Styela clava: one gene and its partners. The protein of the gene in region 2 purifies or fractionates together with the protein of the main gene of each other region. This does not show direct contact. Links are inferred from orthologs where the notes say so. Each region holds a gene or a part of one and is shown on either strand. Other genes may lie near its edges.

The links.
Region 1: the proteins of transcriptional coactivator YAP1-A-like (region 2) and T-complex protein 1 subunit beta-like purify together in Homo sapiens (affinity purification with mass spectrometry; 3 studies listed by BioGRID, with this or other methods). This does not show direct contact. The link is inferred for Styela clava from reciprocal best matches to the Homo sapiens genes YAP1 and CCT2.
Region 3: the proteins of transcriptional coactivator YAP1-A-like (region 2) and coiled-coil domain-containing protein 85C-like purify together in Homo sapiens (affinity purification with mass spectrometry; 5 studies listed by BioGRID and IntAct, with this or other methods). This does not show direct contact. The link is inferred for Styela clava from reciprocal best matches to the Homo sapiens genes YAP1 and CCDC85C.
Region 4: the proteins of transcriptional coactivator YAP1-A-like (region 2) and merlin-like purify together in Homo sapiens (affinity purification with mass spectrometry; 7 studies listed by BioGRID and IntAct, with this or other methods). This does not show direct contact. The link is inferred for Styela clava from reciprocal best matches to the Homo sapiens genes YAP1 and NF2.

The regions. Positions count from the first base shown.
Region 1 is NC_135255.1:22,610,271-22,617,581, forward strand, and holds the start of T-complex protein 1 subunit beta-like, read right to left. Parts: upstream 3,021-7,311; 5' UTR 2,960-3,020; coding exon 2,957-2,959; intron 2,257-2,956; coding exon 2,188-2,256; intron 1,426-2,187; coding exon 1,239-1,425; intron 269-1,238; coding exon 192-268; intron 1-191. UniProt on the Homo sapiens protein: Component of the chaperonin-containing T-complex (TRiC), a molecular chaperone complex that assists the folding of actin, tubulin and other proteins upon ATP hydrolysis.
Region 2 is NC_135257.1:9,974,255-9,982,277, reverse strand, and holds the start of transcriptional coactivator YAP1-A-like, read right to left. Parts: upstream 3,002-8,023; 5' UTR 2,803-3,001; coding exon 2,147-2,802; intron 1,757-2,146; coding exon 1,615-1,756; intron 862-1,614; coding exon 741-861; intron 640-740; coding exon 581-639; intron 1-580. UniProt on the Homo sapiens protein: Transcriptional regulator with dual roles as a coactivator and corepressor. Critical downstream regulatory target in the Hippo signaling pathway, crucial for organ size control and tumor suppression by restricting proliferation and promoting apoptosis.
Region 3 is NC_135251.1:11,944,188-11,951,614, reverse strand, and holds the start of coiled-coil domain-containing protein 85C-like, read right to left. Parts: upstream 3,009-7,427; 5' UTR 2,925-3,008; coding exon 2,165-2,924; intron 1,430-2,164; coding exon 1,350-1,429; intron 877-1,349; coding exon 670-876; intron 1-669. UniProt on the Homo sapiens protein: May play a role in cell-cell adhesion and epithelium development through its interaction with proteins of the beta-catenin family. May play an important role in cortical development, especially in the maintenance of radial glia.
Region 4 is NC_135252.1:22,934,546-22,942,373, forward strand, and holds the start of merlin-like, read right to left. Parts: upstream 3,021-7,828; 5' UTR 2,889-3,020; coding exon 2,812-2,888; intron 2,276-2,811; coding exon 2,140-2,275; intron 1,424-2,139; coding exon 1,292-1,423; intron 505-1,291; coding exon 421-504; intron 1-420. Other genes in the region: NADH-cytochrome b5 reductase 3-like, read left to right, coding at 4,624-4,641, 6,011-6,174, 6,579-6,738, 7,113-7,301. UniProt on the Homo sapiens protein: Probable regulator of the Hippo/SWH (Sav/Wts/Hpo) signaling pathway, a signaling pathway that plays a pivotal role in tumor suppression by restricting proliferation and promoting apoptosis.

The DNA of each region.
Region 1 (7,311 bases), on a different chromosome or scaffold from region 2:
CTCCCTTTGAAAATCCCTGGCCACACCCTTAAATCAGACATCTTAATGTTGGTCCTGAGTTCCTTGCAGATCTGGCAATTCTGTGCTGCCTTCAATGCTGAACAGAGTACTGAAGGCATATACAAATAGCACAATCGAACACCTTGCTTGGCCTCTCACAGATGAGTGACCCCTACTACAATAGCACTTACTCTTAATAACTCAGAAGCAAGCACAGTAACTGACGTTGTTCCATCTCCTACTTCATCATCTTGAACTTTGGACATATCTGGGAATTAGAAAATTAAATTTTTTTATTTAAATGATGAAGCAATAGCAATTAAGTTCGTTTCGACGCAATGAAGGTTTAGGAGCAGTGCTATCAATCACACTAAAACCTTATGTACAAACTGCTGATTTATAGCATAATCCTTGTTTGAAGATCGAGAGGTGTTAAATTTAATGCAAAGATTGAAATCTAGAATATAATTTGCATATGCTCGGTATCAAAACCTATAGTAGAGCCACTCAGCTCAAACAGAGTAGCTGAATCGAATTATTGAAAACGCGCCGTTGCATATCTGATTATCGTTATGCGAGATCAGATTCCACGTTGTAAGAGATATTTATTTGAGAGGGTTCTTGGACTCCTTACATTCGTATGGTGGTTCAATGACAACCGATCAATTACAGCTTCCATCACCATAAAGTCAATTACTGTGAGTCAAACAATAATATACTCGTATTCCATACCCGGCACGGACTGGTAAACAAACAAGAATATCGGTCGGAGACCGAAGACTTATCGATCGAAACTGCGATTTCGATTCATGACTATAGTGACACCGCGTGTCCCATCACTAATTAATTATTAACTCGCTAATTATACGACATAATTCATCCAAAATTAATAGGCTTCTGGTCCGAGATATGATGAATGCACATGCAAAATTTGGAGCAGATTCAACCACGCCTTCGTGAAATATCGCGTGCATCTAACAGACAAACAGACAGACAAATACTTATCAACATACTTACTTAAGTAATGAGAGGCTGAGTTTTATTGTATAATGAGATAACCGAACATGGCGATATTTCTATGTGCAGGTTCTTAGGTTTGATTCTTTTGTGGATGTTCATGTAAGAGGGGACACTATACTGAACAAGGTAGCAGGAAAATAGGTTGCCAGGTAATTAATAGGCAGTTTTATCGGCTTTGGCTATCCCCAGTATAAATACAAAAATCCATCCGAACTTACCAACTAAGACTTTAGCAGCAGGATTATCAACTCCGACAGCTTTCAATATTGTTGCTCCATCGTTTGTAACAGTGATGCCAGGTTCCAATCCTTCACGTCCAGCGCTCATCAATATTTTATCCATTCCCTTTGGACCTAGCGTTGATTTCACGAGATCACCGATAGCAATTGCTCCAACAAATGAAGACTAAAAATTTAAATATGATTGCTGATTTTGAAAAATTCTCTCAAATCGAGGTGGATTCACACAGAAGTAAACAATACTCAACTTCGAGCAAAAATATGAATGGCAACTGAAATACCATGGGTAACCGAAACCACAAAGTAAGAAAGACGAGCCATTTCTTTGAAAAGAATTTGCTCAAATCAAGGTCACACTCACTCATACAGAATTAAAAGAAACTCATCTATGATTGAAGTTATGGTCGTTATGAAGTTACTGAATTGCCAAGAGCTAGCGAAACTATGGATTTATGGCTCATAAGTAAAGGAGACTCATCTTTGAGTCAAATTAAGAGCGACCGGCGAAATACTAAAAGTTACTGAAAGATTCATGATGGTGTATTCCAAGCCTGAGACTTGAAGCAGTTTCAAAATAACCAAGAAATACCATTGAGATAGACAGTTCCAACAAATGAAGACTAAAAATTTAAAGATGATCGCTGATTCCATAATTTAAGATTCAAATTAAGAGCGACTGTTGAAATACCGAAAGTTACTGAAACTATATCAGAATATAGATTCATGATGGTGCATTACATGAGCGAGCAGTTTCAAAATGATCAAGAAACAGACCTGAGGTAGAAAATTTTACTTAACTGAAGCTCGTGGGATAAAACCTTAAATTAATTTGGCTTAGACAAATTATGAAAAAATTCCTACCATAAAGGAAAATTGATTCAAAAATAATATTTGAAACTGCATATAACTGAATATTTCTTATACTCACCAATCTTGCGGTTTCTGCCTTTTCTTCATCTGCTCCAGCATTATAAATTGAGATTGGGCTTAAGGACATCTGAAACAGTAAAAATGAATTGGGTCATGCAAGGTAGAATACATGAATACAATTTTCCATATATATCTAACGTCTCATTACGTAATTTTGGGCGTTTGCGTAATATTAAAGGTGTGGTCCACTTTAGCAATTTTATTGTCAATCCAGTACGGCACACTACAAATCGGGTGACATTGTCCCGTTTCAGAGAAACCCATTTACAAATGATTAGACACCCCTCTTTTGGGAGACGTCAGGACATTGTTGTCCCTCAATATCGGTAATAATACAGTATAATGAAGTTGCGCAAAATACTACAAAGAAGCGCAATCTAATAACTAACTCATCATTGAATTCCTTGGGGAAAAAATAATCCGATTTACCGAAAGAAAAAATATTTTACCGTAGCATTCGAGATTTTTTAGTTAAAAACGGCAATTTTGATCATGTGACGACCGCGATTAATTTAGATTATTATTGAGACAAGCATGGTGTGATATGACGCATCTGACGTGGTCCCAGGTGCCCCTCGTTTGTGAGACACATAGAGTGTTTGTTTTATTGAGCCAAATGGAGGGAAATTCCTGGAATTTGGATAGTGTGCTGTACTGTAATCAGACTTATCTGATGACCGATAGGTAGTAATGTCATTACAACTATTTTTCAAATTCAATGATTCCGTGTCCAGGTATTACAGTATTATTAGTATCTACGTACTCACCATTTTGAAAGATATTTGTTTGAGATCACAGTTTGTAAATAAATTAGATTATGAATCTAAAAATGAAGACATAAATATGGAAATACATGATATATCGAAATTTTATAGAATACTTTCTCTAAAAAATAAAATTGAATACTATCTTAAGAGGATAAAAATATAGCTGTTTAAAAACAGCCAGTCAAATACAGAAATGTTTTAAATGAGATGGTGCTAAATTTGAGAAGCTCTGATAGAAAATATAAAACAGTAGTACAGTCTGACAGTCGTACAGTAGTAGGAAAGAGTTAATTTTATGCATCTTGCAAAACAAAACATATGTTACCGATATTGTTTCAAATGCATGAACTATCGTGTATCGGTACTACCGTAACTACACAACTAACAGAGTCAAAAAGTAAAAGTCTGGCGAATGGATTGCAGAATTAGGTGCGCCATATACAGGGTGTCCAAAAGTTAGTATACACTTTTAATTTGCTCTTCAGGTACTCATAATAGCGCATTCATTTTTTAAGGAAACATGGTAATGGTATGGATCAGTCTGTAAGTAGTAAAATTTATGTATTCGGTATTGTTTGCATTTTTGTATGTATGTATGTATGTTTATTAGTCTCGTAGTAGTAAGCAGTATAAAAAATTGACAATATTAATATTGGAGACGCAACGCATGCACAAGACCGTACTGGCCTAAAACACAAATGTGCGACATGCGCTCCTTTTCATCAACCAGTCACCCCACAGAATGACAAGGAGATTAACCCAAGAAATGAGATGCAAAATTGCTGTTAGCAAGAAGCATATAAATCAGTAAGGCAAACTCAGCGCCTCTTTAACAGAGAATTTGGAACCTCAATCTCCAAATGCAGAAATGCATCAACCAACGGAACTTACAATAGTTAGCACAGGTATCGTATAGCTAGAAACAAAACAGTCCTGGTATGTAACCTAATAAGCTTTAAAATTTCAACAACCAACAAACACAACTTGTATACACCAGACTAGCCTGTGAAAAACAAAAACAGAAGGTCGTTCGAAAACGCCCAACCGCCATTACAGCGTTACGGTTACTAAGATCGCCAGTCGAGAACATTCGGCGAGGGGCCCATGCGTCGATGAGAAAGAAGTGACCGGAGCATTTGTTCAAATAATAAAACTCGGAAGCTAAATTCTCAAAAATTATCATAGTGATAGCTACTATGAATATTGTAACTCCTTAAATACTAGAATTATTAATTTTAAAATACCTAATTTAAAAATATTACGTTGAAAGTATATTTCAAAATTTGCTCATACACTCGAGTATGCATAAACAGACTCCTAACAACTATATTATATACTCCAGTTCCTATTTCAAGCGGTTTTATAACGACTGGTCATTGAAAGTTTCACCCGGTTTCACAGCGCTTCTTCCCAATTTTTATTTTTAACAAAACGCAGAAATATTTGCGCAGCGTATGAACAGTATAATTAAGATTCAAATTGTGTAATACGAGAATGCGATACCATAATAATAATAATGCAACGTCAGACACCTTAATTTTCCATGCTTTCAGATGCTGGCTCGGCGATATGGCGCATCGTGGTGAGCGTGAGAAACACGCTGGCCATCGCGCCCCTGATTACCAAAAGTGGGCTCGCATCTTATAGGAAAATAATTATGTGCGATTGCTGGACTACTCGCCGCTGCAGTGTGGTTCTCGTAACCGCTGGCCCGATACGACTTCCTAAACCATCAAGTCCTTGCATCTACACTAATTCCACACCCAATCGGACGAGACGCCGTAGCTTGTCATATGATTAAACCGTATGGATATATTTTAATTGGAGTGTGTGCAAAAGAGGGAATATATCAGTCCAAACAATTGAGATGAACTAGGGTTACAATAGACCATGGACCTGAACCACGCTTCGACGGAGATCGTGTGCCAAGCAATCTTCTCGTACATAATTATCCAACACAGCAGGCGAACCCAAGCGGAGTAATCAGAGGGATAGGATTTACATATTTGTTCAGGGGAAAGAAATGCCGAAAAGACAGTTTAATTATATGGCAAACCACGGCATCTCGTCCGGTTACCAGTCCATTTCGGATATGGGATTAGTTAGCCAGTTATTTGTTTTCGGAAACACGGACAGCATTATGCTATGCGATTTTTCACAACGATAACAACAATCAATCCAATCCCACCGATGAAAATAACAATAATTTGTAGAAAAGAAAAATTAACCACGGATTCGCTTCGTATAATAGGCATGCAGTCTAGAGCAGTGGTTCCCGAACCGCGGCCACGGGCCAATTACGGCCCGCATAACGGTCAATATCGCTCGCCAAACTTTATGATTCAACACTTTATGATTTTTTTGCGTTTTAGATACCGCCAAATGTTACGTCATTGTCACAGTTCGATCAGTAGTATAATCGAAACAATTCAATTATACCGGTATCGTAAATATTTTTATCGGAACCGGTATCATCACCTTGAGGGCGCTCCCCTCTCCTGACCCGCGAATATCCTTTCGCTTCCAATTTTGGTCACCGGTTAATCAATCGGGAGTAGGGGTGCTTATTGGCCCTAATTGCTTTGTTGCTATCTGAATGGTAGGGTATCCTCAGAGCGTCGATCGAAAGATTAACTGCATGACGTTAGAATTCAACGTTTTTAAAAAGTCCTGGAGCCCAAATTTCGGACTGAAACTAGTGGATGCAACTAATTTGAAATTTCGAACTGAAACTAGTAACAGTTGTGCCGATGCCACAGTTTTGATGGTGCCAATTCAATTTTGTTACCAATTTTGTTCTGTCGGGAGCCAAAGTTGATGTTGAATATTTCTGATTCAAATTTGTAAGATGGAATGAGAATTTCGTTACAACTGTTGCAAGGAGGCATGTACTTCGATTTCGACTCTTTTCTTTGACGTCTCTTCTTCCCAAGAGATACCCTCTCTTGATTAAAATTTAGGTATACGTGAAAGCAGTCAGTTTGATGAAATACAGTGACGTCAGAATCAATAAATTTCAATGAACATATGACGTCATAGGCAATACGACGAGTTCGCGATTGACGGCGATACACTGTGATGTGTTAACGGTATTCACGCCATATTAAGTTAACTTGTCCTAGTACAACTCAGTCACAGTGTACATAAGGTATAGAAGTAGGTCACGCAGAGGTAAAGCACTGGAATTTCAAGATCAAATCTATGCCAAAGTAGATATAAAGCTTCAATCAGGTTGGGATTTTCATACTTGTCCCGGGGAAAAAAGAAAGGCCTACAAGATGGCTTACGCGTGTGTCTCACACGTTCTCAAAGTGATCCATAAATAGTACCAGGGCTCCGCGGGATAAACCCAGGGCTCCGCGAGATATTCGTTTACCTGTAACTGTCCAAAGAAGCTATAAATACGTCCGAGTCATTAAATAACGTAGGCCTAAGTTTAATATACACAAAAACATTCATCGGTAAGTAACAATGTTTTTTTTAAAATTTATTGCGGTGTAAATGATACTCACCTCTTCACGGGCTCCAGAATACCAAAAGTCCGGGTCTCGCACGGGTTTAGTTGGCAAGCTATTTGTTTCAGATGCATGGACTTAATGATGGGGAGGCAGTAACCGGCCAGCGGGTAACTTCAGGCAAATGGTTTGAGACTAAGCATGTAACGTGGAAATCAGAAAATTAATAAGTCACTCCAAAGATTTTCTCGCAAATGGCGCAAACCGACTCACACTATATTGTGAATTCAACAAAATTTATAGTTATGTAATATCAAGCATGAACGACATTAAATTTATTTTATTAAACATGTAATATCTTGAGCCATGTTTGCTCATGCATGCTTCAATTCCCTGCTACATTATACCCGACTTCCTTTATTACGTGTTGTAATTTCCTTTTAGACGTCTTCATGGTAAACGAGTTCGTGGATATTGCGTGAAAATATTGTTAAATTTGACTTCCATTCTGTCGTTAATGAGGTCATTACACCTAAAATGTGTACTTTGAGTTCGCCTTCAACAAATCATAATGATGGGAAGAACATCGATTACGTACGTTATTACAATCCGCTTGTATTAAATTTCGATGGAGTAAACAACTACAATAACGTAAAAATTGTCACACTTTTTTTGCAGCGTTGACTGCTACTTTAGATCGTACAGCCTTTGAGCTGAGAACTGACTAGTTTCTGAGATTGGTAGCGTAATTTGTGATCTTGCATGTATGTATTCGCAAACGGTAGAGTAGGGCCTAACAATTTTCACACAATTTTGCAGAGCGTACTGCTACTTCAGATTACAGCCACTGAGCTGAGAACTGACTACTTTCTGATATTGATCGCGTAATTTGTGCTACAG
Region 2 (8,023 bases):
AACAAACCAATGAAAACGCATTGTTTTGAAAGTCATGACAAAAGACAAAAAAAACTGAGGATGCAAATTTCAAATAAAAGAATATTTAAGCTCAAAACAATTTGATTTACTTCATTGCCGATTATAAAAATTTCTTCTGAGATGAGTAAAGCAAACATTATATGAAGTGTTCAATCATCATTATTTGGGGAAAACCACTTGTTAGAGCCCAATACTGTTGTTCGGTACTATTAAAACAATGCCGTAATTAGAACAATACTTCTTTATTTACAAAAAAATTCTGCACAAAACATTTCGTACGACAGACTACAGACATTGGAATAACTGCTTAATAATGGATATTCTATAGTCTAACAATTGTCCTCCTCTTGTCATGATATATTTTAGTCACATTGAAAAAGGAAAAATTGGGAAATAGATATTGTTAATACAGTGTTAAGCAACACTACCCAACATCTCATTAACAAAAAGTCATATAACAAACTAGGACTTTTTACTGTGGGACTGGAAACAGCAATACATTTAGATCACAGTTGAACGAGGGGTATTCACAAAAAAATTATTACAGTTCAATTGTTACCTTATGAAGCTGCTGTTGTATCTGTGCATTCATCTGTGACTGACCACCTAGATTCATGCCTACAATTGATGCAAATAGAATAATAGGAAAAAAGGATAAAAATTTGATATTGTATAAAAAGCAAATGATAATTTGCATGGAAATATTAAAAAAAAGGAACCTTGAAGTCTTGGGTCTAACCAGCTAGTGGTCCGTGTTTCATGATTTATGAAGTATATTTCACCCTGTGGTGTAGTTGCTTGTTCCCAACCACTCGGAAGAGGTTGCTGCACAACTAATTGCTGAAATGTTTATAGCCATTGATTAGTTTTATAAATAACAAGGTGTATTACTGCCTTTCAGCGTCATCTTGGGGCGATGCTGTTCTCGCATAAAAACGTTTAGCGCTGTGCAAATTTTGTAGCCATAACTTTTATTTAAGCTATTTTAAGGTTGCCGCTGACAAGTAGACCGAATAGTCATTTCACGGTTATCCTACCATTTGGTTTAAATATTTTGTGATCTTTCTTGTTTCCATTTTGTTATGCTTTACCGGCATTGCTAATAAAAAACGATTTGATTGATTGAACTAATTAAGCTACTATCATGTATTTTAGAGCAGCGGTAATACTGGGTCAAATACACAAATTTCTGGTAATGCGAAGGCCACACTAAATTTCAAATTATGACTCGGTTATGCTATTCTAGATATGATTATTGTTGCACGATAATATTGTTGATAAAATAACACCAAAAAATACATTGATTCAATCATTCAATTCAATTTATTAGTAAATGATATTACATTATATTATTGTTAACAACTAGAGAAGAACGTTCCAACTTCCGAGGCTTAAGTTTTTATAGCAATGATGCAATATGCAATCACTTACACCGATATATTGTCAGATCTTACCAAATCATGCAAGCAAAATACAAGCTGATGCTGTAAAACGCATGGAGCAAAGATGTAATTAAAACAGCCATAATCTCCAACTCGATATACGATTTATGTCTGCACAGCAAAGAATAAATGATGTAAAAAAATGTGATACCTCAGGCTGTTGTACACTATTAATATGCATCTGAGACTGTTGATGGTTGACTGCTTGCATGTTATTGGCATTAACTCTTTCTTGTTGCTCTTTTATTACGTCAATTCGTGGGTCAACCCAGGTAGTAGTTCTGTTTGTGTGACTGAAAAGTGATTATAAAACAAATCAATGTACTGGCAGAGTTGAAGACTTATAAATTTATATCACACGAAGCACTCAGTACTGGTACTATAATAACTTGCAAGAACCGTATTATAAGATTTATACTTATCACACCAACAACTAAAATTAGAAACAGACTATATTATGTTCCAAAACCATGTTAGATTCATGAAGTGCAGTTCTTCAGACTTGTTCGTTTAATTAACAAGTGACAGCAGGATGTGTTAGAAGTGCATTGTTTCCTCAATTGGACTATTATATTGGACTATTATAAGTATCTTAAAAGCACCTAGAAATTTGAAAATTACTTCATAAAAATGAAAAAGGGTATTTCTTGTAAAAAAAAGTAAAAATTAACTTATTTACATACTTCATGAAATAAGTTTGACCGTCCTGAGTTCTCGCGAATTCCCATCCCTGTGGTAATGGCATATCAGGTGGTATTTCAATATGATTACTAGGTTGCTGAATTTTCATCTGCATATTTGCGTTGGCTATTTGCAAACTTGCAGGTGATGACTTGGATCGGGAGTGCGCGATTTGTGGTTGTTGCAAGGCAAGGTGACTTGGCGAATTTTGGAAGGGTGAGTGTTGCATTGGACCTGGGGTAAAGTTTCCAGATCGGGGTCCAATATTATTATTCATGTGTGTTTGAGACTGCTGTGGAAGATTATTCGAAGATAAATTTAAACCGGATTGATGAGATGCACTTGAATCTGTACTGGAGCTCCGTGAGTGATTGACTGGTGTTGAAACTAGCCCACCCATTGAACGAGAGTGTGCATGCATCGGCACATGACGTGGTCTATCCGGTTGCTGAAAAAATGACTTGGGAAGTTTCCTATACTTCATGGGAAGGGATTTTGTCTTTTTATTAGGATCCAAAGCAACATTGAATAATTGATCCAACTCATTTGCAGAATCCTGACGGACATGAAGGATCTGACTATGGCCGGAATGACCTTGTGTAATAGTAGTTTGTATTTCAGGGTCATTTTCCTCTTCCTCCATATTAGACATAGACATATCAAAAGTCAACTGTTTTAAACTAGGATTATTAAAAGCTAGGAAGAATAAAATTCTCTCAACTTTGGACTGAACTTGAGTTCAATGTTGATAAAAAAAAAATTGTTTTAGCCTCAGAATTCACCAGGGAAGTAGTGATATGTGAAACGATAAACTTGGTTTCATCTATTTCAGTATTTGTATTCTGAACTATTGTAGCTGAAAACAACATAGGGATTTTATTACATGAGTTTTGGAATGTGTTCCAGAACCAATATATGAATAAAAATAGGAGAATGGTCCAATGCTAAAGGTATATTTTGCACATTAGAAAAATCTCATCTAAACAGACTATTATTGCTATATATCATAAAATACCTTGGAAAAAGCAATAAGTTTTTACTATAAATTAAAATTAAACATCAAAATAAACATAAAATTTCTTATATGTGCCACTACAAAAAGCTGATAGTATATACTGCACCTCGGTTATGTATGTTGGATAGGCCTATACATGTTTTAGGTTGATTATTGCTCTATTCACTGCTTAATATTGCTTACACATGTATTGCCCATTGCAAGATATCACAGCAATAATTCTAATGATAATAAATTTAACTCCTTCATGTCACATAAAAAGACCTCAAATTCGATTCGAACAAAAAAACTGATAGTACGGTAAGTAGTAACTTTAAGTACTGACAATTGTCTCTAAACCAGGTTATTAACCAAAGGTAAGCCATTTGTATTTAATTTGCATGAGAAAATTTGCTTTTGTTTAACAATAATAGCAGTGACCATTAGCATTGGTAAATCATGCTCACAGGCATATATGTCAGGAAACCATCACATTTGGATATTAATGTTGAAATTATTCTCTGAATGCTACTATTTTCATATAAACTAGCATTATAGGTTCAGAATTGAAAGAAAATAAACTTTGCACTTTCAATAATAAACTAGATATAACTAAAATAGGGTATATTGGCTCAATATTCTCCCCATTTCTTCGTTCTATTTGTCTTGCACATACCATAATCCAGTAATTACTGAATTATCGGCCATGCTGCCATGGGATTAGAGCCTATCAATGTAGTCCTAACGCTTGGCATGGTGCATGTGCACCAACCACTGAACCACAGAGCTTATCACAGTGGAGATTTTTTTTATTTACAGCAGGAACCTGATTGATATTCTAAAAAATTTTTATCACACGTCATCTTATGGTGGTTCTGCATAAGGATTGACAAGTGTTTTTGACAGAATTTATAAACAGATAACTAAATATAACATTCAGACATTACAGCATTATTTAGCTATTCCTAATGTTACGGTACCGTATGTTATTATATTTAAACTAATCCCAATGTGAGTGAAAATCAAGGGCTAGTTCACTAAACGACGTCAAGTACCGGTACTTCTAGTTCAGTACCGTACCGTACGGTGGTACGGTAGTCAGCAGTCAGGTATTTGGCATGGCGTAACCATTTTCAGATTTTCGCATAGCCTATGTCATTTCTAACCCTCACCTGGCTAAATTATGTCACTACAACACAACACCTTAAACGAAATCAGACTGTAAGAAGAGTCAGTGAATAGGTAGCCAGCAACTAAACATGTTTACGAAAAGACATCGAAATCGGCAACACTTTTCCGTCACAAACAAGACATCTATAACAGTATAAGCCAATCGTCAAATGTAAATGTCGCCTCCCCCAATGTCCTGCGCCACTAGCGTTGGCGGGTATAATTCCACACCATATAATTTAAAAAGAGATTTTTTTCACAAAACAACATTTACACCAACACCATAATGAATATTAAAGTTCTAGAGTTCGAATAATATCTTTTAGCTGGTGTCAGTTGGCAAACCCGATGAAATTCATCGTGGATTGTGATGCGCTGCGCATAACTTTTTTCAAGCATTCATATTTATAGTAACGGTAAAGTGAAGAAACGATGAAAAGATAAGGCAAGTCATATATAAAAAGAAAGAAATGGAAATGCAAAATCATCTTACCTTGAAATTTTATTTCACATAACAACATTACCACAAACAAGTAAATATAAATCAATATGAAAGCTCTACCCGTCGAATAATATTGCCCATCATGTCCCGCTGTTTTCAGCAAAGTAATGAAAAAACGATAAAAACTTGAATCAATTCAAGTATAAAGAAAAAAGTAAGTCTACAATACTTCAGAAACTGATCAAGTTGATGACATCGGGGCAGTTGCGTGCCTAGAGGGGGCGAAAGGGGCAGTCGTCCCAGGTAGCACGTTCTAGACCAGGTGGGTCAAACTTGCGGCCCGCGGGCCGCATGTGGCCCCATAGAAATTTCAATGCGGCTCTTGAACGCTTAACAATAATTGTTATTTCTCAAAATTTTGAAATCATTGTCCAATTCGTCACTTTTCCATCAGTATAATGAAAAAATACAATAGAAGTAGACATAATCAGAATAAGAACAGCATTCAATATGACTAAATTTAAAGATCAACTTCGAACCATGAAACTGTTGCAGTTACAGCAAGTACAGCTAAATCAGCAAAAAACCTGCTTCAAAACAATCTGTGAAAGTAAAGTTTATGATTTTTTGTAATAAATACAGTAAATTGCAATAATAGTGAAATGCATGAAAATAATATGCAAATGGCATTTGAAATTTAGGAAAATAAAAAAACTTCATTCGGTTGTTTAATTACTTCACATATATATATATATATGTCACAAACTACACCTATCTAAAATATGCTTTAAGTATACATTATCAAAATATATCAAAGTGTGTTTGCGGCCCTTTGCACAATTCCCAAAATGCAATGCTGCCCTCGAATACCCATGAGTTTGACACCCCTGTTCTAGAGGACAGCAGAACCGAGCGGTAGAGTTTGCGTTATTACACATGTTTTTCTCGATGTGTTTTTATTGAATTAAAAGCTGACAATATGTGAGTGACTGACTGTGGTGATGGTGAGTCAACAATAGATGTTTTCCCGACCACTGACCCCAGAAAAATCACTCATATATTCTACAGTTGCAACATTTTTGGTGCTTTTAATGATGGTTTCGCCTTAAACTGGTTTACATGTTTCAAACAAACATTTTAATTCAAAATATGCAACCCTGTTATTTAAAAATACCGGTAGAAAAGTTGAGCCTAGTCTGTCAAGACTAGTTTTAGACTAATTTTTGATTAGCAGCAATTAAACTATAATAAGTCGCAATAATCATTGAGTTTGTACTGAAATTTGCGAAACATAACGAAAAACGAATAGCATGCAAAAACGAGGTATGGTTAACAACCATGCCAGAAAATCTGTGTATGTGGCTACTAAAACGTCTACTGTTACGTCGCTTTTCCGAAATGGAAATGTTTGTTGCTTAGTTTGATGATTAATTTAATAAAAACAAACGTTTCTATCTTAGTTGACCTTTAATTTATTTAGTCTCATGCATAACAATTACTATAATTTGTTCGGTCCCAGAATTATGGGAATAGGGGTATCTTTATCAGAAACTTGCCACGGGCAGCAAAAAAGTTTTGCACAGCCTGCGTCGAAGTCAAGTGAATGTTAATGTCAGACAAGCCTGAATGATTATGGAATTTTTTTTCTAGGCCACAATTCCAATTTACAAAGATAAAAAATTAAAAAGTATGATGTTCACAATATCAAATATGTTGAAATATATCAGAATAAATATTTACCCTGTGATAGATATTAAACAGTCTTGAAAAACATTCAAAACTAATTAAACAGTTTTAGAAAACCTCAGAGATGTTTTGTTAATTCATCATCATATGTTGTTGTTGAATATAAATTGATTTATAATTGAAGGCAATGATCAGTACAAATGTAACGCATTAGGTTCAAACGTAATTACAAATTACCTCTTACGTATTACAAATTTCTTCGATCATTTTACAATGATTTCACAAATTACTATCCACATTTTTTTTTTAGTTTTAATAGACCTGGTGGCCCACAGCTTTATCATAATTCTTCAGAAATGTTTTGGGAGGCAATGTGTTGGTCGACTCCAGATTTGATGGAGTTCATGATATTATGATTTGGTCTTCCACTACAGGTAAACTACCGTACTAATTAGATTACGCAGGCGTTCCCAATTCAGCTTGCGTCATACTAACAACGAAATAAAAAATTCGCGGCACACTTATTACAAATGAAAGTTTTTAAATTCCCTATCAGAAAAAATTACTTTGGTTTACTATATACATTTTATATACATCCATTTCTAATAACGATCGTTGAATACTCGTTTTCTGAAATTGATGAGAGAAAATCTAAATGGTGTCAAAGTTTAATAGTAAAATTATGAAATCTATATATATAAAAAGAAAAAACGTGAAAAATTTTAAACTTAATATCATTTTCAAGATTCCAATTTCTTAACTGCTGACAGGTTGAAAAGGATTGTTCCAGTATTTTAATAGAAACGATAATTTATCCCAAAACAGAAATTTCCCGTAGTTTCAGTGTGACTAATTACCGAACAGTACTATATAAACAAAGTGGAATTGGTAAAATTGCAATCTTTCCAGAATGTTGCACAATACATCACCTATCGGTGGACATAAACTAATGTATCTTCATATGTATGTTACCATACTACTCCAATTACTGATTGCGATGTAATAAAGTTCATGATGATTATTGTGTAAAAAGCTCAGGAAGTTTCTGAAAATTTACCGTTTAGGTAACCCTGGATTACTGTGATACGACTTTACCGATAAGTGAAATTGTCCATCCCTCAGTCGGAGCAGAGAAAATTCACCGATTCATGGCACGCATGCAACTAATATATCTGTGACACCGGTATGACACACTTTGCATCTTTTCAATGTAAGGTATTATTGTATACGGGGATAGGTAATTTTTAGAGCTTTAAAATAGACCAAAATTCACACCGATGCTCCACAATTAAATAAGACGAATAAGACCATATTTATTCCAGGAAGAGAAAAAGCAATAAGACCGAAGTAATAAGAAAAGGAAATTACACACTTTAAACTCTCCATAGTAGTAAAAAAATTGACCGAACCAATAAATTTTATGCCCACTTACTGTGGAGCGTATTGTATATATATATATACATATCAACGTTTTATGATTTATTAGAGCTTACCAACTTCTATTCAATTAATCACTTACAATTTTGTCTTTGGTCTAACCATTTTCCCCTCGCTTGTCGTTTGTCTTTTATGTAACTTATATACATT
Region 3 (7,427 bases), on a different chromosome or scaffold from region 2:
TGTGTCAGAATTGTACGCAATTTAATAGGAACTGTGGCGAGTAATTCATAAACTATTCCAAATCAGATACTGTCATTTGATAACGCCAAAACCTAACAAAAACCATGCAACTGAACTCGCTAAGTATGCAACTAAATAGACACTAAATTTCCTACGAATCTTGGAATTTAGGACAAAATTCTGGCCCATGTCATGAGTGAGAAGCCAAATTACCACCTCTAACTATACTCCAAATGTGAGAAAAATAGTTATTATAATAAATCAAGAGGGAATTGTCTAAATATGGTAAAAATTATTTAAAAATTTAGTTTTACAAAAGCACAAATCAGAGTGGAAAGTTAATAACTCTAAATGAGCACAAGAAAAACGGTAAAAGGATAGGGTTTACAGATTTATCTTGGGGGGGGGAGAAGCATATAGAAAAAAAAATAATTTTGGACACAGAAGATATACCAAACTACTTCCGAGAACTAGAATTCGCCTTTCTCATACTAAATAGAGTCTGACAGGTAGTATGAAAAAATCAATATGAATATAAGTAATTTACACTGATACAACAATTACCTACATTATTTTTCAAAGTTTTCAATTCATAATTACAAGCAAGATATCAGTTATGAAAAATTTAGAACAGCGAGAGTATTAATTAAAAAATGCAAGTTAATTTACCATTAATGTACTCCCGCCTCCGCTGAGAGATGATGAAGAATTTGATAAATGAGATAATGCAGAATGAGCAGGTGATATGTTTGAAGATGAATGCGAATGTATTATAGGTGAGGCAGATTGAGGATTCATTCTTCTTTCTAACGGTACTTTACCAGGAGACATATTGTTGAAGATTCCGTGAGGATGGTTAGATACAGTGGGTGGTGCCTGATAGTATTAATTCAAATATTACCAGAATATTTCATGCACTCTATGTCATGACTTAACTGTTTCACTGGCCTAATTAATGTTTGAATTATTGGTTATTTACTTTCATATTCAAGTAGCATTGAAATCAAAATTTCTTATTTTAGAACATTCAAATCTTGGTGTTATCCACATAAAATGCATCTAAATATCTCGCACATAAGGTTTATATGAATAATGCTCTACAATGCTTGTGACAGCAATATACAGTATTTGTCTCTATATATGCCATACAATAAATTCTACTTGAACTCTACATATGACAAAGTATCTTTAGAATGAGTTAAACAATCCATACTAATATTATAGTTAATACCTAAAATGTTACTGCAATGAAATCTCAATGAAATTTAAAGTACACAGATGATGGCAATGTGACAAAATAGAAAATAAAATTAAAAAATTGTGAATAAAACAGTATGTTGTCCACTCACCTTTTTTAATCTTCCTTTAACTTCATCTTCTAAATGTCGTACCTTGTTTTCCAAATAACGAACATAACTTTCTTTGCCCTCTGTAGTGAGATAATATAGAACAAATGAGTAACATAAAAGTAAGTACCAACCAGAATTGTGCATATCAATAAGAACATACTGCTAAGATATTTACTATTCATTATTCTATTTGACAAAATTTCCCAAAAATTAAAGAATCAAAAAACGTAACAAGTTTCAACTCATACATGAGGTTGTCTCATATAGACTGTTACTGTTTTTTACTTTAAATTTCACTTCAAAATAGGTGATTAACAAGTTGACTCAAGGTTGCTGGACTAAAATAAAAGAATGATTCGAAACAGATGAATGCCAAAACCAATCTATTCTGAATAATGAATATTCTGATTTGGGTCAGGATCACCAAATAACACATGGAAGGTTGATGTATATTTATTGAGTTTGTTTTGGTAATGCAGGAAAGTTGCAGACAAAGTGACAATGGCTTTTTCAGGTTTCAAAAATTAACTAAAGGCGATGCTGTGAAACTATTGACAATTATTCCTAAAATTGAGAATTTGATATAAATTTTTTTCGAATTGATTCAAAAATGTGTTTAAATTTGGACATCCTTAATTGAAACAATATCTTTGCAGACCTTGGCTTCAGAATATTTTGTAAATTCCATTTAAGACAAGTTAGTTTTGATTTTGACGTGAAACAAGTATGATAAATTCGTTTTGATATCACTATACTCGTAAAATTTAAATGTTTTTGAATATGATAATTAATCACTTATATCATAAATAGTTTACCTAAATTAGTCTCTCTCTGAAGAATATTTGTCGGTAACCTGTGATCGGGACTTGAATTACTTGCAGTTGAACCATTACTACTTCCATCGCCAGAATCCCTTGTGCCAGCGACACCAAGTAATCCAGGCACAGGTCCGTGAAAACTACTCTGACTATCAATAGAAGTCCTGCTTCCCGCTTGTTCTTGATCGAGAAGCAAACATAATTCTTTGAGATTTCGATTCTCAGATAATAATGTTTGTTGTTTTTGTTCTAAATCCCTGATTTTACCGTGACATTGAGAAAGTTCTTTTTGTAAAACTCCAGTGGCGTAACGTCCGAAAACTTGCCATTCTCTGGCCATTTTCTTTGCTTTGTCTCGATCATCATCAAGGAAGCAACACATTCCACCTAGTTCATCTTTTTCTGTAGTTAATCTTTCTTTTTCTTGCTGAAGTTTTTGATTAATGTCTCTTAAACTACGAACTTCTAAAAGATGAACCTGTAATCGCCGATTTACATCTTTCATAACCCGACCACGATCTGATAGAAGTTTTTTATGTTCAGATTCACAGGCTCGTAACCTTTGTATTAGGATTTCTACACCCTCAAATCTCAATTCGTCATCGGTAGGTAATCGCGCAGAAGCGCTCATAGCGTTAGATCCATATGGTGGTAATCCATCTCCTCGTATCATAACAGGAGAAGAAGACGCAGTTGATGATGACGAAGAAGAACAAGATGACGGTGAAATGACATTTCCATCCATACCGAAATTCATATTTGGATTATTACCTAATGTTTATTATTAATGTAGCTTATGGCAGAACATTTTATACCTTAAAACATTAGGAATACTGAAATATGATCTAGGAAAGATATGCGTTGAAAATTTAGTATTTTTAGCATTTATTTGCAATTCTCAGAATCTGTTGAAGACTGGTATCAAGTAGTACAGTTGACAGTAGTAGACTAACGTTACTTACATTTTGGCATCTTGCACTTTTGATATTGCCTGTGAGGTCACATAACAGTATAACAGTATAATGCTAGCTCACACTACTTAGCTACTGAAGCATGTCAGTGGCCACAACTCTATCAATACCTGTATACCTACCGGTACCGGTACGGTACCTTTCCGCCTTCGGACAAGCACGAGAACCAATGGAATGGATACGGTACCGGTACGGTACTTTCATGCTAATGGTTTTGTTTGCTCCCCTTATTTCACAATTAGTTTTCGTTTATTTGTTTTTATCAATCATTTTATGACCAGTTATGCTGATTATGGAGTCGAAATAAACTTGACCTTATTCTGTTATCATACTATGCTGGAATGAATTCTAAACCGTCGCAACCTAATACACTAATAATTCCTACAGAAATAGCCGACCGACAGACAGCCTTGAGTAAAATTGGGAACCGTTTGCTTTCAGCAATACAACAAAAACTTAGACTTGACTTCTCAGCAGCTCTCTATCGCCAAACTAGAGGGTGGTTCCTAGAGTAGCAGAAAATTTGAAAGTCAGATGAGATCACGAATAAAATGCGTATAGATATAGGTTGAATTGAAACGATACCCACAAGTTAACCTTCAAAACGCTACACAAGCTTGGACTTCTAGGTTATAACTTATAACACTGCTCTGATGTGCACGGACGGACATTTCGAGCATCTATGAGTGCAATATAACATATGTCTTTGAAAAAAACTTTGTAAACGTTATTATTTGTAAAAAAGTATTACGGTAGCTGATTTCTGTGTTTCTAGCGACCACCTTTGTATAATCTCAAGAGGGCGAGAGGAACAGCTGATACTGAATTCCATTCATATATATATTTCCACAAAAATAGCAATTAAAATGAACTTTTTAAAGCTCTTAATTTTCCTTGAAACTCTTTCATGTTATTGTAGTACCTTAAACATTAGCAAAACACATTTTATGCTAAAATTTTTCAATACTTCAGTTATGCGAAATTATTACCCTGTAGCTATTTTTCTTATCATACTGAACGCGACTGCTTCAAATCGCGTGTCCATCGATATTTACTATCGCGAAATTCATCACTATAATTCTTGGTAGTACATTATCAGTATAGTTCTTGGTCGTCGTGACTTTTCTGATAAATCCCCCCAAATGGTTTGACAAATTTTCTTGTAAAATACCCAGAAGTGAAAAATGTGTTCAAAGAGTGCAAATGTTTATTTTGTGAATTGTTTTGTGTTTTCTGAAATTGAGATGCAATAATTTTTGACACAAGAATTTAATTTAACCGTTCCATGTGCAAAGATTTGAATGACGAAAGAAGTCATAACCAACCAGAGTTTACGTTCACAATGTGCCGTTCAATAAATGGAATAAATCCCCGTTGGTCAACGAGGGTAATTATCGCCGACTAATTGATAGAGGATTAGCGATTTATGACCAGTTTTCCTTAATTGTGAACGCTCAAGAAGTTTGATTGTGTTGCCAGAATTAGCTCAACTCATATTGAGTTGCCTAACAGACAATTCTGGCAGATTGAAACTGGCGATGCTGACATTGTCTGCCATGTAAAAATTAGAGACTGTGTAGCAATATCTGAAATAGTATTTTTTGTAAAAATTACATTTGTTTGTAGGAAACTGAGACATTAACGGTAGATATTGCAAATACCGGAATATAGACTGGGTTATCATTTGTCAATTTTATTGACACAATCACAACCGAGATTCTATGAAAATAAGTAGCGGCTTTCCGTAACCTAATGGAACGGTCACTAATAGGGAATATCACACCCAAGTAAAGTACCCAATGTGGTCGTTGCCATAATAAAATATGAATTAATTAGGATTCGACCACATAGACTTGTAATGGCAATCAGGACACCAATGTGTTGTTATTGTTGTGTCGTATGATTTCGTTCTTTGTGCTTCAATTATGTGTGTGCTATGTGAATGAGAACTGTTGGACTTTACTATTGTAACAAAACCCAGTAACTTTTTAATTTGGTCGACAAAATCTTGAAGTCTTCTTAACCGTTAAAATTATTCTTGAAGGATTTTGTCGATTCGCTTTAAATCTGTAATCTGCAAATAACGTTCACGAGATTTTCCATCTCAAATAATACTATCTTCGTTTTTATCCGCAATTAAAAGTGATCTAATAAGATGTCAATTTGTTTTCTCATATTTCTTTGTATATTTCTAACACCGCCACAATATAACTCCAAAGATTGCATCTTGCCATGGATATAATTACAAGAAATATTCGACTTGAAAATATACGTGTATGTTGTTTATTCGTCTTGTGAAGGAATACAGAAAACAAATGATATATTGATTCGGAGACATCAAATAAATATATTCAACGTGCATCCCTGAGGCTTAATAGGTGTGAAATCAATTAATAAAACACGACGTTGGCGCGGTGGCCTAGTGGTGCAAGCGGTAGATGCCATCGTAGGTTCACATATCATTACCGGTTCTAAGAAAATTCGTCGTATAAAATGTCGCCGCAGGATATTTCGTCGCGTAGGAAAAATCGCCGCAAGAACGTTTTGCTGAAAACAAGTATTTGTGATAAATACAGTTTTCTATTTAAAAAAGCGTCGTTATTTAAGAGCACACCCTAACCTTATCACAAATACTTGTTTTACAGCAAAATGCTCTTGCGGCGATTTTTCATGCTATCACAAATATATACTTATTTTACAGCAAAATTCTCTTGCGGCGATTTTTCATGCCGCGAATTTTCCTATGCGACTAAAATTCATGCGGCGAATTTACCGGACACGCTCATCACCACCACCTCACCAAGGGTGTAATATAATATATTGGGTAGACAATGCAGAAACGGAAAGGTTCCGGTGTTTCCAAACTCACAGTAAGCTCATCACCCACTAGGCTTGCACGTAATTTACGGATTTACGGAATTACGTAATTATTTGGAGTTACGGAAGGGAAGTTACGAATTACGTAAAGTCGTAATTATTGCATTGAAACGAGCTTTCTTCAAAGCAGTCAATTTCGTCTATTGCGAAAAATGAAAGCTCAACAAGTAGAAAAAGTTAGAGTTCCGGTATTCGCAGCCGTTTTTCTCTCTCTTGTTACGTAGGTGAAGGAAGGCATGACGCGTTGCCATTTAGTAACCTATTATCAACTTCTCTGGCATGGCCAATGTAAATTATTAACGTAGTTAAGGGGGAAGAACTGAGTAGGGCCGTTTGACGCCAACACACCTGGTTTTAACTTCTCCCGCAACTTAACCGTAGATAAGGGATAGAATTGCGTTGAGACCGGTTGACGCCAACACACCTGCTTTCAACTTCTCTCGCATCTTATCTAGCATGGCCATGGCCAATGTACATAATAACCGTAGATAGGGGGAAGAATTGTGTTAAGACCGATGGACGCTAACACGCCCGGTTTCAACTTCTTCGGGTGAAATGACTAATGAACGCAGGAGATCAATCTATCAAACACGAACTATCAAACATTTGTATCCATTTTACTTCTATTTATTATTTACTTGTTCCAGTTTTCCGTTACTTATGGTATATATGTTCCGTTTCTATTTTATTCTATTTTATAGTCACGCGTTTAAATAGTGGGAATCCCCCACCAAGTGTGGATTAGCAATGCTTAACCATTCTTTATTGTTAATATCAACACTTGATATATGAACATAGAATATCATACTGTTTTTGGCTGTTTTATTTCAGACTTGGGGTATAAACAGGAAAATATCCATAACCTTTCTACACGACGATCTTGTGAAATTTAACGAAGAGCTTTCGCGACGAATTGGAACCAAATAAGCGAAAAGAGCGATTGATCACTCGCGCCAATACCTCGCCGTGATAATTAATGTCGCGCTTATCAAATAGCAATATGGCGAAAAAAGAGAGATTGCGTAATGAACCAAAGCAACTTCGTCTTCTCGGCATCGGTAAAGCGATTGAGACGGCAGAGAAACAGCAAAACGACGGATTCCTCGCGGACCGCTGAAAATTTAACTGCTATCATATATAATCAAATATGAGCCAGTGTGTTTATTCTGTGCGAGATCCATTTTCTATTACAAAATCTTGATGTTCTGTTTACGGTTTTATCGTTATATATCAGTCCGGACTTGGCCTTGCTCATAATGTTTTTCACAATTCCTCTCAATATTTCGGCCATATATGATTAAGTGTCTTACCAAATGCAGTAACTTATTTTGATTTATCGTCGACTTGAATACCACCGGCACCCGACCAAACTTGTGTCAATCTTGGCCGATAGGATCGCCGACTTGAGTTAG
Region 4 (7,828 bases), on a different chromosome or scaffold from region 2:
TCTGAAAGGTTTGCAGAGAGATGGGACTTTCTCAAAGTGCTGCAAACGAAGCCCGAGGTTCCGTGAGACTTTTGGCTAACTTTAATAACTATCCAAAGAAGCAAAAACGGCATCAATAAAATTTGACAACTGTAGCGTTGAAATTTGGCAAGAAGGCGGATGTTCAAATATGACTTTATTCATAAGTTTCTCAAAAACATGATTCAAAGAATAACAATGTATTTTTTGTTTGTGTTTATTTTAATAAATATATTGTGGGCTCCATAAATAAGAGTCAACCTCTTCATGGGCTCAGTGAAATCGAAAATTTGAGAAATCCTGATCTAAACCAACTTATCCTATCCTATGCCAAATTGAGAATAAATGTTCACCGATGCAACAAAATACAAAATCTATCAATATATCAATGAAAACACGCACCTTTGCTTGAACAGCGAACGAGGCAAGCAGTACAGATGCCTCTGGAGGGCAGTAAAGATCTTCAGACAATATTAAATGCTGAATCTGTAAATATAGTCCAACATTAGAAAAATAAATTAGGAAGGGAATGCTGAACGGGGAAGTATCTAAACAGAGTGGTAAACTGGATACACTACGATATTAGTTATGTTAAAATATTTATGAATATGGAATATCTAGAACCAACCATCTAGCACAGCCACACAAAAAAAATAGTTTTTCGATATACACAAGAAATTAAAAAATTCTCACAATGAAAAGTCTTAGCTTAGCTCGCTCAGCCTTATAGTATTAATAGATTAATAAATGGACAATTGATAATACTAATTAGTTAATTAATACTAAACTATAGTCATAATTAATTAAATAAAAAGCTAAAAAAGAAGTTGGAGATGAATTTTTATCAACAAAGAACCAAGAGATAAAGCCAAAATGATTTTTTTTACATGGCAGTGAATTTTGAGTCAGAGTCGAGTGCAAATGTTCTACAATCAAGTGAAACAATATAGCATTAAGCAATAGAACCATGATTAGAGCAAAACAAAAGAGCTATGCTCAAATATATGGACATGTAGCCACACATAGTGGCAAATTCGGATGACATCATAGCACACAAAAAATGAATTCCATGCAGCTCACCGGTATATTTGAAATAAATGGAAGTACCGAAATAGCTTTCTGGCAAAAAAATCAATCTACAACCACTGGAAATTTCAAAGCAATTGGTCCAGTATCCGAAGAGAAGTGATTTTTTATTGAGGAAAAAAACAAATAAGAATAACAACAAAACACTAACACGATCCATAGGTCTTATCCAATAACACTATATTACCTGCAGAAAGAACAGGTGTCTCGTGACCTCTTGTATAAGTTCATCTTCCATTGACTCAGGATAAAACTTCGCGAGAAACTTCAACTCAAGTTTGTCGCCGTTCACTGGTTTTGGAATTGCATGATTCAGAAGCTGAATATAAAGAATGGATTAGTAAACGAATGACGAACAAATAGTAAACAATGATTGGTAATAATATCCCTCATGAGAATGTTAAGAAAATAAATCTCTGAAAATCTCTCGTCCATGGACTATCGTTCGATTACCATTCCATATGGAGTATGGCAATTTTTCATAACTAGTTATTTGTTATCGATACATGGACTTATTTTTATTCGGTTTTTGCCCAGTGAATACTCAACAATTGAGGCAATTTTTCAAAGTGGATTTTGGCACAGAAGACATCATTTTAAAGTTAGCTGCAATCCAATAAAACCAAAAATAGATCTGTATGAAAATAAACACTTTACGTCTTTACCTATCAAATTTCATCTGTGTGAATTTATATAAATAATAATAATTTATATGTTCTCTCATTGTGAAAATTTCTATGGTGGTTTAGGAATAAGTCAATGCTGTCACTTCAAAGTGAATTGTAAGTACTCCCCAAGTATGTGCCCAGATGGCAGACACTGAAACGTAGTGTGTGTACCAGGTTAGGGTTAGACAATAAGTTTATTTCAACGAGTTCGGGGAATAGCCAAGTGACTCCTGTGGTATTTGTACCTGAAATTATATCCTAACCCTAAACCTGGTACACATACTACGTTCCGGTTTACATACTTCGGGAGTATTGAATTGTAGCTCTTCCTCAACAATCTCGATAAAAAAAGAAAGCTTCTTGTCACCTTTTTGTCAAGTTTTATCCATGTAAACCTCTTCTTGACATCATGAAATGCGAGACCAAAATACCAAGTTTCTCTCAGACCGATTGTCCGACATATCAAATCAAATACAACTTGAGCTTTCACTTGATTTGAGACCCTAAAAGAATATATTTCAATAGGATTGAGATAAGTTCAGATATTCAATGGTAATAAAATAAGTCGAAATTGTTACAAACTTTACAACTTACTCAAAAAGTTCAAATTTACTAAGCAATCTTAGCATTCAAAGTTTGCAAAATAAAACAGCTGACAATAATGATCTTATGATGAAATAAAGTGTTCTCATATTTTATTAAAAAATGTCCGCATCATTTAAAATGAAGCAGCAAAATGACTCATAAGTTTGAAAAAAATATAAATTTCATTAAGGTTCTAACGGCTACCATCTTTAAGTTTTGAATATTTGGAATCGCTTGGTTCGTTAGTTGTCCAGTAAAGTCGAATTTTCCAACACCAACAATTTAACCAAATGATTGATAGGGTGAATAATTAGTAAAATAATATTGTGGGACCCCAAGAAGTATGCGCACCAAGATGGCGCACAACCTGAACATAGTATGTGTGTACTGGTTAGGTCAGGTTGTGCGACATCTTGGTGTGCATACTTCTGGAGTACCATATTGTGCTTCTTACGTAAATTCTAAATCCGCATCCAAAGTGGATACTCTGATGTTGATGCTTTTCTTTTTCTTGAAGAGTGGGAACGGCATCTCTTATAAATGATGTTAGTGACATCAATTCAGGAATAATTGTGAAGCGATTATCAAGAAGCCATATTATTTAAACTAAAATTAACAAATGTTATTTTCACAGACTCTGAAAAAATGGTGGAAATACTGGAATAGAGACTTATACAGAGATCTATCAAATAGAACACCAACATAGTTTAGATTCAACTGTTAGACCACAGAGCTACTGGAGTTGAAGCGATCAAAGTAAAATGAAAAAAATAGGAATAGGAAAAAAAATAGACTTACTGACCTGGTTCGGTCAACATCCTGCAGTTTTAACTTCAATCTGTCAGCACAGCAGTAACCTGCTATGTCTTATCAACCTCAGAATTGTATTATAGTATTATCATGGGTTCATGTCAACTATCATAAATAGGATGGCTTACCCACTTTGCGGCCACGACCTATTTGCGGCCATCAAACTAACGAACCATGACGATATTCCTCACGCGCTTTCGTCCACTTGTCCCTCGTAGCTCTGGGAAATTACACTAAAATGCATCCACAAACAAAAAAGTTACGATCGAAAACCCGCCCGAAGAAAAAAAAACGAACCCTTTTTTCATATCGCCAACTACCGGTACCCATTGTTCCTTCAAAAAGCTTGAAAATCTATACAAATTTAAAAGATAAAAAGATGAAACTTGGCAGGTCAGCAGGTGGGTAGAGTTGTGTTTCTTTTAACCATCTTTAAAGTTTTGCGTTCCAACATTTAAAGGAGGGGGAATAGGGGGTGCACATTTCAAATACGTCGATAATATCTTTGTCGACCAATTTGCGATCACCGTGTTATTGTCTGTTTGATTGCTGTGATACCGGTACCGTACCGGTACGGCACTTTATTTATATTTTGACGAGTGGTGTTCTTAAAATATATGACGGTCAGAAATGCAATTAGGCTATATGTTTAACTTTATAGAATATATTCAGACATTACACATTTCTTAATTAAAAAAAAGACAGTTAAAAAGGAAACTTACTGAAAGTTGCTGAAATACCGGTAGCCTACCGGTAGTAATTCTCTATCTATCTAGCCTTTGAATTATTACAATATTGTCTCATTATCAGCGAAACTAAAACACAAGACGACGGCAAGTGTGAAAGTTTGTTTATGGACACAGTACAGCAGTAGGCCTACAGGTCAGCAAGTTCATCACCTGATCAATGTCAGACAACATCTTATCTAGCTATCATTCAATACGATATGATTTGAAACAAATCACAAAATTAAAAAATTATATCTCTAAAATTCAAAACTTATCAGCAGGCTAAAAACCATAACGACGTGAAAACAAACGCAAAAGAGTCAAGACAGCAAGAGGAAACCTGAAAATTTCCAGAAATAAAATAAATCGCTGATATACTTGAGTAACTTTCAGACGAGATTGACCCGACCTGAACTCGTGACCTTCGAACCTATCATAACTTTTGCACAACTATCATTCTTCAACGACTTTATCCATTTTCTTCACACAATTACTCGTACCGGTATTAAATTCATTGTGCAATAACTAAAAGAGTGGCTAATATTAAAGATTGATATCTTATCTATTTATTTTATTAGAAAGTGACGCAACGCACTGCAATTTGAAATTTTGACTCGATAACTTCGTTGGTGTTTGCATTGCAGCGGTTCTTGTATTTGCTTGATGCGAACGTGACCTACCGTACTGAGTGTTCGTTTTTTTTCGACACATCTAATCAGGATTGCCGTATGAAGCCTTCTCCAACAGTGAGCGATATATCTATTACATTTTAAATGGCTGGTACCGGTATACCGTAGACTTTTGCCAGTTAATTGATTAAGCAAGATAAATAGGGAAATGGTTTCTTTCTTTTCAGTTTTGCATTCGGAAATTAGATCATATTAAAAAGATTTGTATCTGCAATTATCGTTCTGATATGCAGTTTTTGCAATTCTGTATTTGTGAATGTGAGGCCCTTTCATAAATCCTTTTGCTGTTTTGATTATTCCATGTCCTGATGTCTGAAAATTACACCAAAATTCAAAGTAGATATTCTTCCTGTAAGACAATAAAATCTTCTTAGTGGGGGAATTCCTCCCCAGTTAGAATAACCTGGCTTTAAAAATATAGAAATGAACCTATTTACCAACCATCTATGTCAGTGAATACCAATCTTTTTCATTAAATTCCTCCTTTCACCTATTTTTAATGTTTTTTTTCCTTCCTAGTTACTCATAAAAACTAAACATAAAAACCCTGCCTCTGCTGCTCTGTGTTATGCTCAAGTCGCACTCATACTTTCATACAGTTTTGGTAGTAGAATAAGTAAGCGATATCAATTATGATATTAATAAAGAAATGAAGAATATTAGTAGTAATACTAGGACAGCAAATTCTAAGCAAAATTTAGGATAGGATAGGATTTACATATTTATCCCGGGGGAGAGGAAAGCCGATAAGACGGCTCATCCATATGGCGAACCACGGCCTCTCGTCCGGTTACCATTCCAAGTCGAGTATGGGATTAGTTTTACTGTATTGTTTGTTTTCGGAAGCATGGACTTGGTGGTGGAGGAAGCCGTAACCGACCAGCGGTTACGTGAACCACCCAACGACGGCGAGGAGTCCAGCAATCCTCTCGCACATAACCATCCCTGCATGGGATTCGAACCTGCGAACCCACGCAGAGTGATTAGAGGTGCGGTGGCGAGCGTATTCCTAACGCTTAGCCTGTTGAGCCACACCGCCGCGCCGAGCCGATTTCTGCCCAAGAATGGCGTGGCGGTGTGGCTCATCGTGCTAAGCGTTAGGAATACGCTCGCCACGCACTTCTGATTACTCTGCATGGGTTCGCAGGTTCGAATCCCATGTGGGGATGGTCATGTGCGAGAGGATTTCTGAACTCCTCACCGCCGTAGGGTGGTTTACGTAACCGCTGGTCGGTTACGCCTGCATCCGCCATCAAGTCCATGCTTCTGAAAACAAATAACTAACTAATCCCATACCCGACATGGAATGGTAACCGGATGAGAGGCCGTGGTTTGCGATATGGTTAAACTGTCTTATCGGCTCCCTCGGGATAAAGATGTAAATCCCTTCCTGATTGGGTAACTTTGATCTATGTTCTTTATTCAGATGAGTCTTCTAGGATTCTCAGTTGTGGGGATTTCAGTTGTTTGTGCTGTTGCATACTTCATTTGGCAGCGAAAGAAAAATCAACCAAAGATAACACTTCTGGATCCTGATGTCAAATATCCACTTAGATTGGCTGATAAAGAAATTGTTTCTCATGATACAAGGTATTCACATGACGAAAAAGACATTTGACTAACAAATATTGTTAATTTTAAGCTTCTATTTGTGCTGAAATAGGTTCTGATACAGAATATATTCTTAATTCGTCTTTGTAATCAGGTGCATAGCCAGGAAGTATCATACATCATAAGGGGGAGGGATGTGAGATTTATACTTGCCAAGTCAGACCGTATCTGCTAGCCGGTCAGGAGGGATATTCTGGGTTTTAAGGGTTTTCAAGCTATGAAATAAGGCTCTGCATGATACAGAAGAAAAATGCTTTGAAAATCTTTTTTTTTTTCATTTTAAAAGATTGGCTTTGACCCTCAACCCCTCCCCCCTCTGGCTAAGAACCTGACACCCTTTCTTGCATGATCTCGAAATAACAAAATCCATTCGCTTTCCACAGGCGTTTCGTGTTCACTTTACCATCATCAGAGCATATCCTTGGTCTACCTATCGGACAGCATATCTACTTATCAGCTGTTATCAATGGAAAATTGATAATTAGGCCATACACCCCGGTGACATCTGATAAAGATAAGGGACACATGGATCTTGTTGTCAAGGTAATGTTAATTGTAATTTTATTACTTTACTGCAATAAGGTAACATCGATGATATGGAGATTGGAGACTCAATCCTGTCACGAACCATACTGTTGTGTCATTAACTCGGAGAATAGACGATGTTTGTAGACAAGGCTGAAAATCAACATGAAACAATGGGAGCCACAATACAGTATTCCACATGAGACCTCTCATCTGGTTACCAGTTAGTGTCGAGTATCGCATGGGAATATAATATAAAACAGTTATAGTGCCCACTGACAATAATTTTGCTCAGAAATTTAGAGCCTTCTTACTTCCGAATTAGTGCCAATAACCTTGCTCTGAGCTCATTCTCTCTATAATAAATTTTTTTTAAATTTTTTCTGATATAGGTTTATTTCAAAGATGTTCACCCCAAGTTCCCAGAAGGAGGAAAAATGTCTCAATATTTGGAAAGTCTCCGCATCGGGGATACAATTGATGTTCGAGGGCCAAATGGGCTTCTTATTTATGAAAAACCTGGTTTGTTTTCCATCAAACCTGATAAAAAGTCGGAGCCAATGAAAAAAAGTGTCCGAAAAGTAAGATTCTGATTTACTTGCACTGTTTAAATGCTGGCATTTCATAACTGGTTCAGGTTCTATTAAACAAACCGTCAAGAAAATCTCATTTTGGTAGTTTCCTAGGTTTTTATCAACTATTATACTGAAAATAAAACAAGTCACTAGATATCACAACTAGCATGAGGTATGCTCAAGGACGTGGCAAACTCTTCTGCTACCTGGGCGAACTTCTGGTAATGATGCTCCTTATACCTAACTTCAAAATAATTCGGGTGATAAACAAATTATAGATGTTGTTATACATAAGAATGAATAAATTAAGGGTTAAGTAAGAGTGAAATGTTTGTATTATTGTTAATTAAATCATCAAACTAAGCAACAGACTCACATGTACAATTTGCTGCCGGGGCAGCTAGCCCTATGAGTATGACCCCCTTCAGACGCACCCAAGGGTACGCTAGCTAGATAACATAAATCATACTCTCTCATGTGATTGACTAATATCATCTTCAGATTGCTTACTTCAAACCTGGATGACCTTGCCA